Linked DNA regions of Canis lupus familiaris. The protein of the gene in region 1 interacts with the protein of each later gene in a pairwise test. Links are inferred from orthologs where the notes say so. Each region holds a gene or a part of one and is shown in the gene's direction. Other genes may lie near its edges. The genes, in order: AQP1 and RGS17.

What was found.
Region 2: the proteins of AQP1 (region 1) and RGS17 interact in binary tests that used the Homo sapiens proteins (3 or more experiments, as listed by UniProt). The two-hybrid records come from large-scale screens. The link is inferred for Canis lupus familiaris from reciprocal best matches to the Homo sapiens genes AQP1 and RGS17.

What each region holds. Positions count from the first base shown.
Region 1 is NC_049235.1:43,683,316-43,692,043, forward strand, and holds the start of AQP1 (aquaporin-1), read left to right. Parts: upstream 1-2,992; 5' UTR 2,993-3,023; coding exon 3,024-3,413; intron 3,414-4,786; exon of another isoform or gene 4,787-5,205; intron 5,206-5,299; exon of another isoform or gene 5,300-8,728. UniProt on the Homo sapiens protein: Forms a water channel that facilitates the transport of water across cell membranes, playing a crucial role in water homeostasis in various tissues.
Region 2 is NC_049222.1:43,597,880-43,606,160, reverse strand, and holds part of RGS17 (regulator of G-protein signaling 17), read left to right. Parts: intron 1-641; 5' UTR 642-666; coding exon of another isoform or gene 667-691; coding exon 692-785; intron 786-4,863; exon of another isoform or gene 4,864-4,867; coding exon 4,868-4,967; intron 4,968-8,281. UniProt on the Homo sapiens protein: Regulates G protein-coupled receptor signaling cascades, including signaling via muscarinic acetylcholine receptor CHRM2 and dopamine receptor DRD2.

The sequences.
Region 1 (8,728 bases):
CAGCCAGAGAACCAGCCTGGGGTTCTGGGAATTAGGGGGTACTGAGTTCTAATCGCAGCTCTGCTGTTCTTTGGCAAATCATTTACCATCGGAGCATCCCAGGGGTGTGGTGACGATGAGCCCTCACCAGAGGCTCTTTCCTTCCACCCTCCCTCCTTCCTTCTCTCTCTCTTCATTCCTCCTTCTCTCTCTCCCTTCCTTCCCTACTTGGGCAGGATTTGTGGCGTCCAGGGAGAGGAAGGTCATGGGCTCTGCGGCCTTCCTGGGGCGGGGGCTCCAGCGGCAGGCCTTCTCCCTTCCACACTGAAATCAGCAGGTCGGGGCTACACAGGCCCCCTTGCTTTGTGGGAGATGGTGGGTGAGTAGGTGGGCATTACTGCGGAGACCTCTGCATTCTGCTGATGGCAATGCCTTTGCCTGAGGGAACGGAACTCTACTGGTGTGTGGCATTCGAGGCAGAGGCCCAGCCGGCATGGGGGGTTGGCAGGAGATACTGTGGTTTTCTGGGGTGTTGTCCTGAGGACCCTCACGTCATCCTGAGATTGGCAGGTGCCTAATCTGCCCTGGCAAAAGCACTTTTGTCCCCCTGATCCTGCCCTGCTCCAGAAGGAGGTGGACCTCTGGCAAGTACACACTCATGCACACGTGCCCTGCACGGTGACAAGCTCCACTGCCCAGAGCGGGGGCACAGGGCCTGCAGGCTCATGCTAGACTGTAAACTTCAGGAGGCCAAGAAGCTGGGCTCGCTGGCATGTGGCCGTCTCCCCAGTGCTGAGAACAGGATGGCACAGGACACATGCTAAGTAAATATTTGGTGAATAAATTAGTACACCCCACGTGACTCTCATCCTCATGCATAGTGGCACATCAAGCATCCTCAGCTACGTGGGCCCTGACCTGGCCTGTGGACCCTGTCGCTGAAGCCGTAGCATGCCCAGGCTCCTGTTGCCTCTGAGATGCCGTACCCCCCACGCTGGCCTGAGTCCCCTGGCCCTTGTGGGTCTAGTGCCCGGCCTCGGCCTGCTGCCTCCAAGCTGAGTCCTCAACTCATCCCCCACCAGCTGGAGGGCGGGGACAGACGTGGGCCCCATCAGGGCCAGGAAGCTCAGCGGACAGGATCCTGGACACTCTGAATGCCCAGGGCCAGGGCGTGAAGGAGGCTCCTGGGGCGTGGACAGCGCAACAAGTGCTGCCCAGAAGAAAGGAAGTGGAGGAGGTTCTGGGAAGTGGCCCCGTCTGGCTGGGTCCCTCTCTTGGATGGTTAATAAGGCACACATGACCTCTGGCCGCTGGGGCTTTCGGAGCACGCAGGGCTCACCGGCCACTGTACGGACTCCCTGCCTCGCATCCACTCCATCCTGTACTTACAGGCACTCAAGTGTACTTAGGTGGCCACAGCTACGCCACCTCCACCCCCGGTGGGCCTCCTGCTCCCAGCGAATCCCAGGCTGATCCCTGGTGGCTGCGGTGTGCACTGCAGGGTGTGCACTGCGGGTGGGCTCGGGAGGGAGCCGTAAGGGCCACAGGCTCATCCTGGCCCCGCCCCGGGCGCGTGCAGAATTCAGGGATGTCCTTCCCCGGCTGGGCCTCGATCTGCCAGCTGTAAAATGGGGAGACGCCAACACAGCCGTGGGGGACCGGGGAGGCGGGCGGGAGGTGGGAGGAGAGGCCCAGAGAGGGCCGCTCCCTCCCGGGCCTGGCCTCGCCCCCTCCCGGCCCCGCCTGGCTGCTCTTGCCCTCGCTGCACACCGACTGGGCAGGCGGCCGGCAGGAGCCCCCTGCCTGGGGGAGTCCGGGCGCCTGCACAGCTTACCGGCTGCTGTCGGGCCTCTGGCTGGCGGCGTGCAGGGCAGGGGCTGGGGGCAGGGGTCTGCGGGCCGGCCTCTTCCCCACCCACCCCACCTTTCCCCTCTTGCTTCGTGCCTCTGCTGGTTCCAGTGGCGTCTCCTCTGTCAGGTTTGTCTCTTCCCCGTCTCTGCTCCCTGGCTGTCTCTCCTCCTCAGCCTGGCCTGAGATCTCGCTCGTCTCACTTGCCCTTTGACTCTGTCTCTCTGCCTCTCCCTTTGTCTTGTGTCCTCTCTCCTTCTCTCGTCTCTGCCTCCGTCTCCAGGCTACCTGGCCATTCCTTCCCTCGCCCCCTGGGGTCTGCCAGCATGCAGCCCTGGAGAGGAAAATCCTGAACTGCCTCTGTTTTCTCCACCTGCCCTGCTATCGTTGGTTCTAATTGCTTCTGGAGCAATGAGGGCTCCCAGAGTGGCTACTTGCCTATCTCGGGCCTGCCCTTGACCACAGAGTGCGGGGTGGGCCACCGACAAGCTCTCCGTGCCTCCTAATGCCTCTGTGTCCCCATCAACTGGGCCTGGCCAGTGGTGCTGGGCCCCTGGGGCATCCCTAAGGTGACATCTTGTAGCCAGGCCTGGGCCAGGGTGTGGGAGACCCAGAATGCCCCTGGGGACCCCTGGACCCGTGCTGTCCAGAATAACGCCACTCCGGGATGGGATGGGATGCCGGGCGAGCAGGATCATGGTGCCCCACTTCTCGGGAAGGCAAAGTCCACCTGCGGAGTCCAACCCACCCACCCTGCACCATCCAGAGCTTCTGGCTCTGCCCATGGACACCCCTGAGCTCCGCACATAGGGCGGGGACACCTGGATTTCTCTGGCCCCCTGAGTGGGGCCAACTTGGAGGAATTTCCCAAAGCCTATTAGAGCAGTGGCTGCCTCCCGCCTGCCTCCTCGGGCTGGGCAGGGCTGAGGGCGGAGGGAGAGAGGGAGGGAGGGGGGAGAGGAGGGAGGGAAAAAAGTTGGCAGGCCGACAGCAGAGCTGTGTCTGCATCCATCGCTGAGAGGAGGCCCGTGAAGTGCGGGGCGGGCCAGGAGCAAGGAGAGGCCTTCCTCCCTTTGTGCTCCCCCCCCTCCTCTCCTCCCCCCGGGCCCTATAAATAGGCCCAGCCCGGGCTGTGGCTCAGCTCTCGGAGGGAGTCGAGCACCAGGCAGCGGTCTCAAGCCAAGCCCCCTGCCAGCATGGCCAGCGAGTTCAAGAAGAAGCTCTTCTGGAGGGCGGTGGTGGCCGAGTTCCTGGCCATGATCCTCTTCGTCTTCATCAGCATCGGTTCTGCCCTGGGCTTCAACTACCCGGTGAGGAACAACCAGACAGCAGGTGCGGCCCAGGATAACGTGAAGGTGTCACTGGCCTTCGGGCTGAGCATTGCCACCCTGGCCCAGAGCGTGGGCCACATTAGTGGCGCCCACCTCAACCCAGCTGTCACGCTGGGGCTGCTGCTCAGTTGCCAGATCAGCATCCTCAGGGCTGTCATGTACATCATCGCCCAGTGCGTGGGGGCCATCGTGGCCACCGCCATCCTCTCGGGCATCACCTCCTCCCTTCCGGACAACTCCCTCGGCCGAAACGAGGTACGTGGGGTGGCCCCAGGTGCTGGGCTCTGGAGCAGAGCACACGCGGCATAGGTCTCATCCTCACCCATTGTGCAGATGGGGACACCGAGGAGCAGAGAGGGCACGAGCTGGCTGGAGGTCATGAGGACTTGGGGCTGGAACTCAGCTACACCTGCAGCCCAGAGCCCGTTTCCTACCAGGCACCGTGGGAAGCCGAGACCCAGAGAATAATAGTCTGGCCAGTGTCCCCTGCAGGCGTCTATCGTGGGGAATCAGCTCTGGAGGCAGCTACCAATTGTGGGGACAGCAGCTCCTCACCCCTCGGCTGTAGCTTCTAGGTCTCCACTCTGCCCGGCCGGGGCAGCCAGCTCCCTCTTCCTACAGCCTGGACCCTGGGGACACGCTGCCCGCTGTCCCCAGCCCCCCGAAGCTGGGTGCCTGGCACATTGGCGCGGGTCAGCAGCTGCATGAGCAGGACCCATGGGTGGCCACACGGACCCTCAGCCCGCCCCATATTCACACAGGTCCCCAAACAAACTGCCTTCAGGGAAAAAGCCCCTCCTGCTCCTTGGTCCCCGAGAGTTAGATGAAGCTGCGGGGCAGCGGGGGTGCGGTGGGGGCAGGTGAAAACATTCTGGCTGGTTTGCAGGTGGTTTTCCTGGATTACAGTAGGGGTGGTGGCCAGGGTGGGGACATCTCGCCTCCCGTCTGGGCTCCACTCTCTGTCGCCGGGCACCGTGAGGTGTGGCACGTGTGTTTGTGTGTGTGAACGGTGTGTGCACGTGGATGCTGGCATGGGTCTCCGGGCTTGTGTAAGCTGTGCGCTCCCGTGGGTCTGCGAGTGTTAGTGCAGCCGTGTGAGTGGGCGGCGGGGGCGGGGGGCGGTGAGTGTGTACCTGTGCATGCCCATTGCCCCTGGCCCCAATGGGGTCTGGGCCGGGGGCACTAATGGTGAGCAGATGTTGGTGAGTGGGTGGCAGGCTGCTGCAAAGAATTCCTCCCGGGCCGCTTAGCACAGCTAATTGGCCGTTGGCGGCAGTTGCCTGCTGTCGCAGACCTGGGCTTTTCCAGACCCTCGGCCAAGTGCAAACTCAGACCCAGCCCGGGGCCACCGCGGCGGGGGGAGGCTTGGCCTGAGAGAGGCTGAGGAAGGCTCGGAGGGTGCCTTCCCGGGACAGGGGAGTGGCGCACGAGCACACGGGAGGAACCAGATCTGCAGAATCGGGGCTCGGGGCCTGGGCAGGGCAGGCGGGGGCAGGGACCGGGAGGGAGCCAGCCCAGGGCCCCAGAGACCGCGGCCCGGGATTACAGCGATTGTTGTCCCGCTTCCCAGCCAAAGTTCAGATCCTGGCGCTGCAGCTGCGGGGAGGCTTGGTAAGGCCTGGTGCAGAGGGCAGCTGGCGAGGCCTTGGCTCGGGCTGGGGGGGATTAGCACTTCTTGTGTCACAGTGACACCTTACCCGGCCCCCTCGCGGAGCCAACCGCTGCTCGGCCCAAGATTGAAGATTAGCCCGCGGGCTGGAGTTTAGACTTTAGTCGAAGAACGTGGTGGCCGAGGTGGGTGGAAGGGACGAGAGCTCCGGCAGGCTCTCCAGAGGGCAGGGCCAGGTGACTCCGGGGAGTGACCCCCGGGTGGGGTCAGGTTCAGCCGTGGCCGGCTCGGTGGGCAGGGCGGGCGGTGGCGAAAAGGTGCCCGTTGGGGAGGGGTTGAATGTCCGCAGGCCCCTGCCCTGTCTTGACCCTCCTTCTCCAGGGACAGGCAGGACAGGCATCTGTGGGCAGACGTCGCGTTCTGACTCGGGCATCACGGGTAGGTGCCGGGAGGGTGGCCGCCTACCGTGGCATCTTCGTCTGGCCGCAGCCTGCTCCAGTGTCCCTTCCCTGCCCCGGCCTCCGTTTTGCAGAGTCGCCCAGATGCCTGGCTGGGCCGTTGGCAGCTGGGGGAGATAAAGGGACAGGCTCCTGCCGGGGACAAGCACGCCGGGCTCACGTCCTGTCTGCTGCTAACCTGTTGCGTTTTCCTGGAGCTGAGGATCCTGAGACTCCAAGAAGGAACCTAGGTCTTTATAGATATTTCCTGGCCCCTCCTAAACCACCAGCAAGCTCACTCTGGGGACTTGTGTTTATCACCCTTCCCAGGAGGGTCTGGCTAAGAGGAGCCCACGGGGGGCCTCGCTGACCATAAGATTCCTGAGTGTTGTGGTGGGGTGCAGGCACTGTCCTGTCTACACCAGGGAGGTTTGGGGTTCCAAAGTCTGGGCCTAGAAACAGAAAGCATCTCTCCCAGGGCTCCTGTCAGACGCTGGACCTGCGATGTGAAGGCATCTGAAGTTCCTGGCAGGTGGCCCTGATGCCTCAAGAGAGGCAGAGACCGGTCTCTGCAGCAAGTGACACACTTTTTCCCCCAGGCTCAGAGGGAGGCTCCCACAGCCCCTTGGGCCCTGGGCCCCACCCTGGCCCAAATCTAGGTGGAGACCTTTGTTGGCATGGAGATTCCTCAGAAAAATAGGGAAAGAGGAGGCAGGAAGCGGTTGGGGTGAGTCAGGGGGTGTCCCCCGGGGGCATGGTGGGGACAACTTTCTTCTCACTGAGTCAGGGCTTAGGATACGCCCTGGAGAGATCACGGGCCTCTGTCCAGCCTGGAGGATCCCGGGTGGTTCTAAGAGCCAAACCTCGATTTTGACCCAAAGTGAAGAGTGTCGGAGGCAGGGGTCGGTGGCCCCGTCTGACCCTGCCCTAGCCAGAGGCTGACGCGCTTCATGCCAGCAGCCTAGCCTGTGTGGCCCAGTCCATGTGTGAAACAGGGACCGCAGGGCGTGGCTGGGCGCTGGGAAACGAAAGACGCTCATAGCCAGCTCTCTTATTCTTCTCCTGACTCCCTCACCCATGCTCCCTGTTAACCAGACTGGGGCCGCTGGGGGCCCCCCAGGGGCTGAGTCAACCAACCAGCTCCCTACCCCTGGACCGACCAAGGCCCCTGGCGGGGAAGATAAGCCCCACGCACAGCTGCCCGCGATATGGGGCAGGAGGCAGTTGTGATAAGAGGTGTCAGGGCGGAAGAGAACGTCTGCTTTTGAGCAATGGGGAGGGCCAGGAAGGCTTCAGGGAGGAGGTGCCACAGGAGCCTGAATGGCCCAGGAAAGGGGCTTCCAGGCGGAGAAAGGGTGTGAGCACAGGCAAGGTGGCAATGGGAGGTCAGGGTGGCCGATGGGTGGGGGAACCCGTGGGAGGCTGCGGCTCTGGAGAGTGGAGGGCTGGGGTTCGGGCCAGGGTCTCCCTGTGTCCTAGAGGGGACTGGATGCCTGGCGGTCCCCCAGCCGGTGATTTCAGCACCACCCCGGCAGGGGGGTGTTGCGGGCTCAGGCCTTCTCTCTTCGGGGTCTTCTCTCAGCCCTGCTGATTCTGGGCCTGAGCCTGGGGACCGCTTCTCTCTGCTACATCGGGGCCTGACCTCAGCCCTAAACTCTCCCCTTCCTCAGTTTCCTGAGGCTCGGTTTCCCCAACCACAGGGTGGGCGGGTCGTCCCTTCCCTGTTGGCCCCTGTCGCCTACATGGGCCCCGAGTTCTTCCAGGGTTGAGGGCCCCCCGCTCCCCGACCTCTGCAGCCTCCTCCAGGGCTGGGGTGGCTTAGGGAAAGGAAAGCCAGTTTTCAGATGGACGTGCCCGGAGAGGGGGCTGGGGGCTGGGTGGTGTGCCATAGCCGGGACCTATAATTACTGTTTCCAGCCAGAACCAGATGAGGGGGAGGGCGTAGAGAGGCAGGAGCTTTGTGGTGGAGACTTCCCTCACCACGGAAAATTCTGAGGCAGTTTCCCCTGTGAGGGCCCTTGGAGCAGCCTCGCCAGCCCTATGCGGCCCACCCCAGAGCTCGGCCCTAACCAGGGCTCAATCTGGCAGCCCCTGCTCTGAAAGCGCAATGCCCTGCGAGGGGACGTGCCCCGCTGGAGCGCTCAGTCTGCGGGGACTCGCCTCCCCGCCCCGGCCCCCAGGGCACAGCCTCCTGCTCACACTGCTCAGTGCGGACGACTCCATGGAGCACCCCCACCCAACCTGAGCTCAGCCCGAGTGCTCCCCACTTTCTCTGGGGCCCCACCCAGTGGGGGTTCCTTCAGCATTAGCCACCAGGGCTTCCCCCAGGCGGGTCAAACTTGCCTCATGCCCACACTGTGGGGACTGGCTCAGGGAAGCTTTCCCGAAGAGCCCCCTGTTTTTGCTGGCGGTGCCTCCCTGGGGGCCGTGGTCCCTGCCCTCTGGAAGCACCAGTGGGTCTGGGGTCTCCTGAATGGCCAGGTCTGAGTCAACACGCTTGCAGGTGTGGGGAGGAAAATGTCATGGCCATTGTCCCCCACCAGCCAGGGCTCCTCCCCGGAATGGTGTTGGGGGACGCTCCTTGCCCCACACTGGTGCTTAGGGGGATAAGCAAGGGACTGTCTTCATATAACCAAGGAGCTGCAGTTCTGTGGAGTTAAAACCCCCAACTCAAAAGATGGCCAAAAAGACTAGAAAATGCCCCATTCCCATGAGCAACTCCTCTCAGGGCCTGAAATCCCACCCCTTGGGCAACTAGAGAGGAACAGATGTCTGCTCGGTGCATGGAGCAGTTTGTATCTGGGGAGGGGCCACAGAGGGCCCACAGGCTCCCTGTCCCGGGGGCGTGCACAGGTGACCTGTCCACCGCTGGCCGCTCTGGGAGGGAGGACCTGTGACAGGCTGTGGGCCACACTGAGAGCCCGGTTCAGATGGCTCTGTGGGGACCCTGGCTGGGAGGGCGACAGCAGGTCCTGGGGACTGGGGGGCATCCCGGGTTACCGTGCGGGCCAACGCTTCCATTTTACTGATAAGGACACAGAGGCCACCGGGGCACTGAGATTGTGCGGTTGCATAGCAGATCAGGGTAGGGCAGGCCCATGCCCCCAGCCTGCCGCCCGGCCCTAGCTTCTGCACAGGCTCTCTCTCTCTCTCTTTCTCTCTCTCTCTCTCTCACACACACACACACACACACACACAAACATACACGCACGCACGCACAGCACCTGGGCGCACACACAGGTCCCCGTAGAGCCACTCAGGCCCTGCGGTCCTAGGAGGGTGGCGGTAGGTGCTCCTCAGTGGAGGCTCTTCCTTTCCCTGGCAGGAAGATGGGGTCTGCCCTGGAGCAAGGAAAAGAAGGAGGGAGGGAAGGAGAAGCCATTGCTTTGTGTATTGTTCCTTGCCAGGAAGATGAAGTAGCTTCTGGGAGCCAATGAGGGCCCTTTGAGACCTGCAGCTGGCTGGCTGTCCCTCAAGGGGACGTCCTTCCCTTCCCTCCCCTGCCCCTCTCCGCAGGCAGTGGT
Region 2 (8,281 bases), on another chromosome or scaffold:
ATAACAGACACACAGAGAGAGGCAGAGGCAGAAGGAGAAGCAGGCTCCCCGTGGGGAGCCCGATGGGGCACTGGATCCCAGGACCCAGGGATCACTACCTGAACCAAAGGCAGGTGCTCAACTGCTGAGCTACCCAGGGTAGCTACCCACGGCTACCCGTGCCGTTCCTGCACGGCAACGTTGTTATGATAATTTTACGTAGCAGATAGTGGTGGAAGTTTGTCCCTGAAGTTTGTAAGATAGTCTCCTAAAATTTTTAAAGATTTTATTTATTTATTTGACAGAGAGAGAGAGCGAGCGTGCGCGCGAGAGCGAGCAACAGAGCATACAAGCTGGGGGAGTGGCAGGCGGGGGGGGGGGGGCGGTGAAGCAGGCTCCCTGCTTAGCAGGGATGAGGGCTAGATCCCTGGGTCCTGGGATCATGACCTGAGCTGAAGGAGATACTCAACCAACTGAGCCACCCATCACCCCATAAAAAAAAAATTTTTTTGAGAATTTTTAATTTGACTGCTAAAGTTATTTGTTTTTTTTTTCTTTCTCTTAATTTATCTCCCATCCCAATTAAATTACGTTCCCTTCAGCCTAAGCAATGTATCTTTCTTTTAGTTTTTTCATACCTTTTGTTTTCTCTCTTCTTTCAGCCAGTTGGGTACGAAAGTAGCTGAAATGCGAAAAAGACAGCAGTCACAAAATGAAGGAACACCTGCTGTGTCCCAAGCGCCTGGAAACCAGAGGCCCAACAACACGTGTTGCTTCTGCTGGTGCTGTTGCTGCAGCTGCTCCTGGTATGTGGCACTCTCTGTAGGATAGCACCCCTGAGCTAGCTGGGGGCTGACTACAGTGAATTTGCATGTTCATTCTTGGGATCTCCTTTTCCTCCTTCACAAGTAGGAATTATTGGAGACCATCATTGGAAATAGAATATTTCCCCAGAAACTACATTTAAATTGAGAGTAAGGTAAACAATGAAAACTTATTTGATATCCTGTTTTTCTCTATCCACACATCTTAAAGAGATGGTAAAAATAAGATTATGGTTATATACTTATTTAAACATACACAATATTCTCCAGGGTTCCAGAAGGTACAGGGACATTAAGATAATATCTAGCAGTACTGTACATCGCATTCAATGTTGTGTTTTAGTTATATGCTGTTTCACAGGATATTGATCATTCAGTTACAGAGCCACAAAACTGTGAGTCAGGGTGGCACTCTCAGCCACAGACACCTGAAAAAGGACAGAGAAAGAAGTACCACAGACCCATATCCACAAATCTAAAAGGCCAGGGCTATGATGGGCATAAAGTCAGTCAACTAGTTTCTGAACTTACAGCTGGCAAACATGCTTTCCTTTGTGATTTTATCACTGACACGTTCTGTAACATCATACACAGTTTTAAACTCTGCTATTTGGTTTCCTCATTGGCAAAATGATGAAGTTAGACAAGCTGATTCCCAAGGTCCTGTGTAGTACTAAATGTCCATGATGCAGGCACCTCAGAAAACCTGCTCCAGTTCCAAATTCCCCAAGTGCCTTCCAGTAAGAAAATCAATGACTCACAGTCCTAAGATTTATATGGATGAGATTCTCCAGAGGGATGCAGGACTTAATGAAAATTTTCCGTAGAACCATAAGTTTTGGGATCCTTTAAGATCCAATTCACAGGGACACCTCTGGGCCTCCTGGGCCTGGGTGGCTCAGTGGTTGAGCATCTGCTTTTGGCACAGGCGGTGACCCCGGGGTCCTGGGATCGAGTCCTACATTGAGCTCCCCGCAGGGAGCCTGCTTCTCCCTCTGCCTGTGTCTCTGCTTCTCTCTCTGTGTCTCTCATGAATAAATAAATAAAATGGTTTAAAAAAAAATCCAATTCACAAGTGGATCTTCTGAATTAGTTAGTGGTCTTCTGGATCTCCCTGACTTATGTCAAAACTCTGAAGAAAGGCCCAAAGGCTTGAATCATCTTCTTGTATATGATCTCTACAGTTATTGGTATTATTTGGTGGCATAATATTCTATCACTGTGGCCAAAATAGATGAAACGTGCTACGCTTTAGTGGTAGTGTTGGTGTTGAACAAGCTCTATCCCTTCTAGGAACCTTCATTTCCAAAAAACCATCAGACATTTTAGTAACTTGGAAGGTTTAGTTTTTATAAATATCAAAACTGCTTCCCAGATGATGATTCTTTGTTAAGGAAAGTCATAAGTGACTCCTTTTCTTTCATTTTTAAGCCTTCACTATTTCAGGTGGAGGAAATAGAGTTTTAGAAGAAGGAAATATTTCAATAAAATTGTGAATATTTTTTCCTTTATCACTCCTAAAGAGATCATTTAACTTTGGTCTGAATCCATGAAGTAAAGCGTAATGCCTTAATATGGTGGTTTGGAAGTCAGACTGCCTGACTCATGCTCGCTATCTGTTTGACTTTCAACAGGTTATTTTAATGTCCTCAAATTCCTCATATATCAAATTACAGTCATAAGAATCCCTACTTCATCAGGTTGTTGTACATTAAATGAAATAAAACACAGGCTGAAAACAGTGCCTGACACATTGTATGCATCTAAGAGATAGCTCACTGGGGGCACCTGGGTGACACAGTCAGTTAAGCGTCCTACTCTTGGTTTTGGTTCAGGTCATGATCTCAGGGTCATGAGATTGAGCCCTGCATCAGGCTCTGCACTCAGTATGGAGTCTGCTTGGGATTCTCTCTCCCTCTGTACCTTCCCACCTCTGCCTTCGTGCTCTCTCTCTTTCTTTCGCTCTCATTCTCTCTCTTGCATTAATTAGCTCACTGGATAGAACACTTCATATTGGAGAAAATAAAATCTCCTTAAAGAGGAGCTCGCTTGAAATAATGTATATGTATTTTTTAAAGATCTACTTATGAATATAATATAAAAACTAATCTTCAAAAGGAAAGCTAGTTTATTTTAGATTCTATAAGAGACATCCCAAATATATTGTTACATAGTGTTGGAGATTATGTTTCTATTTCTCATTTGTACTATGGCTATGTTCCAGGAATCAGTATATGATTTTATTTACCTGCCAAAATTTATTTCTGAATTGCTTCAGGATTATAACATCAAAACAGATAAGGAGTATGGAAGTTGTGTTGCGCTATATTCATTTGCTTGTCAAACACCTATTTGGCGACATTTCCTTTTTTTTCCCTCTCCTGCATATATTTAGTGAGACTTGCTTTTATTAATCTTAAAGAACACACTAACAAAACATTCAGTATGAGCTCATGAGCATGAGATTGTCACAGAAAACGGACTATGGATGGAAAACAAAACAGCTTTTGGAAGCTGCATGAACTCTCCACACCTCTGAGTTGATGCCTATTTGAGCTTAAAACATTTGGTGCACTGGATGAGGGCTCTGAGTTCTAGACTTAAGTGTCCTTGTCGAGAACTGTGTTTTTTAGCAATGAGTCATGGGTGCCTGAGTCTAAGCCATAAAGCACACAGTCTATAAATGTATAAACTCTTCCATATATGATAAATCAGAGGTAATTTCTAATGTAAACAACTTGAAAAAAATGAGAATAAAATCGTCTTGAACTATGGATTCTAATTGTGACAGTGTTATCTCATTGCAAATGAGAATCTCCTTAATAAATGCATTTTGAAAATATCATTTTTCTATTTTGGGTTTAAGAAAAAATATTTAAAGCCTTATTAGAGTGGGAAAACAAAAGAAATAAATGTTCTTCAAATTTTCCAGGCTAGGTCAGAGGAGCAGAATAGAAAGAAACACTAAAAAATGTTAAACTTAGGGACCAAAATAAAGTTAGAAATCAAAATAGGAAGTAACTATCATTTGTAAAAAGGAGCAGTTGTCACGTAGCTGATTTCTCCTCCTTTTAAGGAAATAAAATGCTAGGAAAGTAAATTTCTATATCGAGTAATAAATACAAAACCTCACCCTGGCCTTCAATGTTATGGATCTTTTCAACATCATAGTGTTTCCCTCAAATTTGCATTTATCTTTCATAGTTCAGCATCAGCTCCTCTCCCATATTTAAACTTAACTGTGTCGTAATAAAATGACCACTGTGCTTTTGGGGGTGGGGGATGATATAGAGATTAAGTACAAAACTGCTGAATATTTCCACGGTTTCCTTCCAAAGTCTAAAAAGCTGAGACTTAATCTGTAATGACTTGTTAAGCCAATCTGTTCTCTGTTCCTTTCAAGGAAACACTTCTGTCTTCAGATCAGTCTACTTCTCTTTTCTCCCCACAGCCTTACATTTCAAGGGGAGAAAACAAGGGAATGTGGTTTAGAGCATGTTAGTTGTTGTAACATGAATGAATCACGGAGGTCTGAGTTTTGGCCACAATATAAACCCTGTATAAACTTACAAGTCCTTCTATATGTGGGACTATGCTTAGTACTGACCAGAAGGAAAGAGGATTTTGTCAAGACCACTTGTCTAAAAGTTCAAGGCTGCCACTATGAAAACTTAATATTCCTTTTATGTCTGGATTCATACAGAGGTAATTAACCCTCTTCCCTTTTCTTGATGAGAAAGAAGTCTTTGAAAGTTGTGGGCTCTCCACCAAACTGCCATCTCTAGGACAGTAGAGGGCAGTGAGGCCCCTGCCACACAATGCACTGTAGATGGCACACTGTGTGCCATCTCAAAGTAGAAACTGCTGTGGGCTCCTGAAAGCAAAGTGCCTCAAGAAGGAAATGGAAAGTAGAGCCTTCAAAATTTATGTCTATTTCCAAATTGTCCCATGAGCTCTCTCCTAACATCAGAGGTTATGTTAAAATGTTTTTCAAAGAAATCTTTAGGTGCTAATCCATCCCTTTTTTGATTTCTTGTTTTCCTGGTTGTGTCCTATCAAGCAAGACAGATTTCCATGGTCAACCATGAAAAATCAGAACTCAAGAGACATCAGCTCTCATCTCTCCAGAATGGTCCTATTGACTTCTTATGCCGTGTGGTGGAGGTGAGGGGATGACTCCAGGGGGGTCTGGGGCTGGGATCTGCAGCCCTGGGCTCTCTGCTTCTAGTTTCCAAAGGAATGGCTCTGTCTAGCTATTTTACATATTAGACTTAGGTATAAGCTTTTTTTTTTTTTTTTTTAAAGATTATTTGAGAGAGAGGGTAGGGGAAGAGCAGAGGGAGAGGGAGAGACTGTCTTAAGCAGACTCCACATGGAGCCCAACACGGGGCTGGATCTCACGACCCTGAGATCACTACCTGAGCCAAACCCAAAAGTTGGACACTTAACCGACTGCACTACTCAGGCACGCCATGCTTTTGGCTGGAAGAAAAAATGGCCTTGTTAGAAAATGATGTCTGGAAAATGCTGTGTCTGATGTTCCAAATAAGGAAACTGAAGCTTGCCTACCTTCAAGAAGCTCATTAGTGACAGAAGTGAAACTAAAATGCAAGTCTCTTAATATCCAGTCCATTGTTCTGTCCACTTGAAGATGACACTTCCAAACTTTTCATTTCCAGGTTTGATATGAACCATTTCCAAAGCTTCTTAGTTTTCAGATTGAATTAATAGTCTCATACACCACTGTTAACAAGATTTGGCCCACTGCATTGGATATTCTTCATTCTCCTCAGGAGAAGTTGTCCCACCACAACTGAAATTAGCCCTGTGGAAAGCTAAAATTCATTCTCTCCCTTTTAGATACATGACTTCGCAGAATTCCTAGACCATGGGATAGATCTAAGTAAACATTAAACACTTCATAAACATGCTTTTGGCTGCCCCTCCCTCTATTCTTAACAAGTACCCCAGTTTCTGAATTCAAAACAGGGCAAAAATCATGTCCTATTTTATCCTCTGATGCTGTCACATTTTAGCTGTGTGCCATGAAAATAATACAATACATGCTTCAAAAGCCAAAGATTATTTTTCAAAAGAAAAAACAAAATACGCATCTGCTCCATGGTGAGGAAACCATCCCCTGGAAATAAATCTGCTAACACATGCAAGGTGAATCATTTCATCTGAGGCTACAGTGATAAACACTGTACCTGTCCTACTCAGAGACCTGATTCATCTCACATGGGAGCGTAAGTTATGTGCCTTAGGCTGCCGAAGTACTCCATCATCATAAGTATCACTTACAAACAGTTCTACAGTTTTGAAACTCATCTCACCATGGCATAGGTGAATTTCCTCAAAAGTTTCTGTGACTTGCATAAACCTAAAACTCGCACAATCAAAAGCCATCTACTAAAACAAACCCTAGTTTCCCACACCATATCCACAAAATCAAAAAGTGGACATTAGGACCATGGACCTTCTTTACAATTTATTGAATTTATTGAATGCCTACTATTGCCTGATATAGTTGTACTTCATTGGCTTTCACTATATTTTCCCTGCCTCTACATAGACAGAGAATAAATTCTCAATAAGCCGTTGAATCCAGAGCGGTCACCCTCTAGAAAGCTTGGTATTCAAACTGTCTCTGCCAAGTCTGTGTTATGTATGACCAGAGTGCTATCTATTGGAAACTGCAAGAATTAGAATGCCTTGATCCTTTTCCATTGAAGGCATGCCATTGATACTCTTTTTGACTCTGTGTTTACTGTGAAGGTTTTTGAGTATCACGTGGCAGTGTTTAGATCATCAATGGAAAGATGTATGTGTATAAAACAGAATAATGTATGAAAATGTTATGCCCAGTCTCATTTAGAAAAATAGAAAGAGTGAGCCAGAGAAGGGCTGGAAAAAGAAAATTAAATTAATTCAAGTCAGAAGGAGGCAAGGGGCAGCTTAGAAGGAAAGGTAGCTCACAGCCAGCTGGTTTGGTGAGGAAACCATGAAAGTGTCCTGCTGGCTGCTGGGGATACCGAGGGTATGATTCCCCTGAGTGGAGAGTCAGAAAGAGAGTCTGGTATGAGGAACCTGGTAAGGAATCACAAAGCTATAAGAGGATATGGAGAAGAAGAAAAGGGGAAAGTCAGATGCCCTAAGCCTCACAGAATGTGGAAGAGGAATGCCAGCCCCCACCTTGCCCTGAGGGGATTGTGGGAGGAGCTGCCTGAGAGAGGCACTGCCAACAGAGAGCTGGGTGCCAGGTAGGGGCCAGAGCAGGAACATGGGCTACAGAAGGCTGAGAACACAGAAGCATGTTTGACGTGGAATGGGAGTTCCAAAGAAATGAGGAGTATCCTCACAGTGGGAGAGAGAGGAGCCTCGCTCTAGCAAAGAAGCCCAGAGGCTGATACAAAATATACTGTAGGTATAGTGGTTGGAAGTACACTCTAGAACAGGGCCCTGCACAGGCATGTGAATTGGCCCAGGTGCCCCAGTTGACTTGAAGTCACTTCTGGGTCAGGATCACGAGCAGCTCTCTAATCTGCTGACTCACGGTATGTGGTAATGTGGTGAGGGCCACCTGGGTCTGGATGGGCCAGGATGTGGCAGATGTTTAAGATGACCTTGGCATTGGGCTGGTGCTGTTCATACCCATCGCCATGCCTCCCTCTGCCCTGAACAAAGCTGAACACATGAAGGGCCAGTTTGACTGCCCACCTCACCCTACTGGTTTTCATACTAGTGATTCTCCTGTTTAACATCTGTTTTTGTTTTTTGGGGTTAATACCTTTAAAATTTACTATGTGGATTTAATAGTTGAATTCATAAAAGTTCATAGTGGTCAATTGGTACTGAACATTTCTGTAAACATATACTAAAGTTACTTTAAAGTAAAATAAATTGACATAACATATTATTTGGCACATAGTAGATGTTTAATACTAAGGCGTTAAATGAATGACTGAATTTGGATTTTCTATTTGAGTCTGCTTTATAAAATATGAAAATTTGTGTCACAAAAAAACATTTTAAAAAATAACAAGCAGGGATCCCTGGGTGGCGCAGCGGTTTGGCACCTGCCTTTGGCTCAGGGCGCGATCCTGGAGACCCGGGATCGAATCCCACGTCGGGCTCCCTACATGGAGCCTGCTTCTCCCTCTGCCTGTGTCTCTGCCTCTCTGTCTCTCTCTGTGTGACTATCATGAATAAATAAATAAAATCTTAAAAAAAAAAATAACAAGCATATCTCTGAGGCCTTTGTATAATTATGTGGCAAGTGATGCTGATTAGGCAGCACCAGATTTCTTATGCATCATCTTCCTTCATTCTCCTTCGGACTCCTGCATGTGTGTATGTTAGCACTGATAGTAGTAGGATACTGGTAGCACTAGTTGTAATTAGTAGTAGAGAGGGGCAGGGGTTCTGGGAAAGAGCACTAAAATCTCTTTACTATTACTAGGATATAAAGTCAAAAT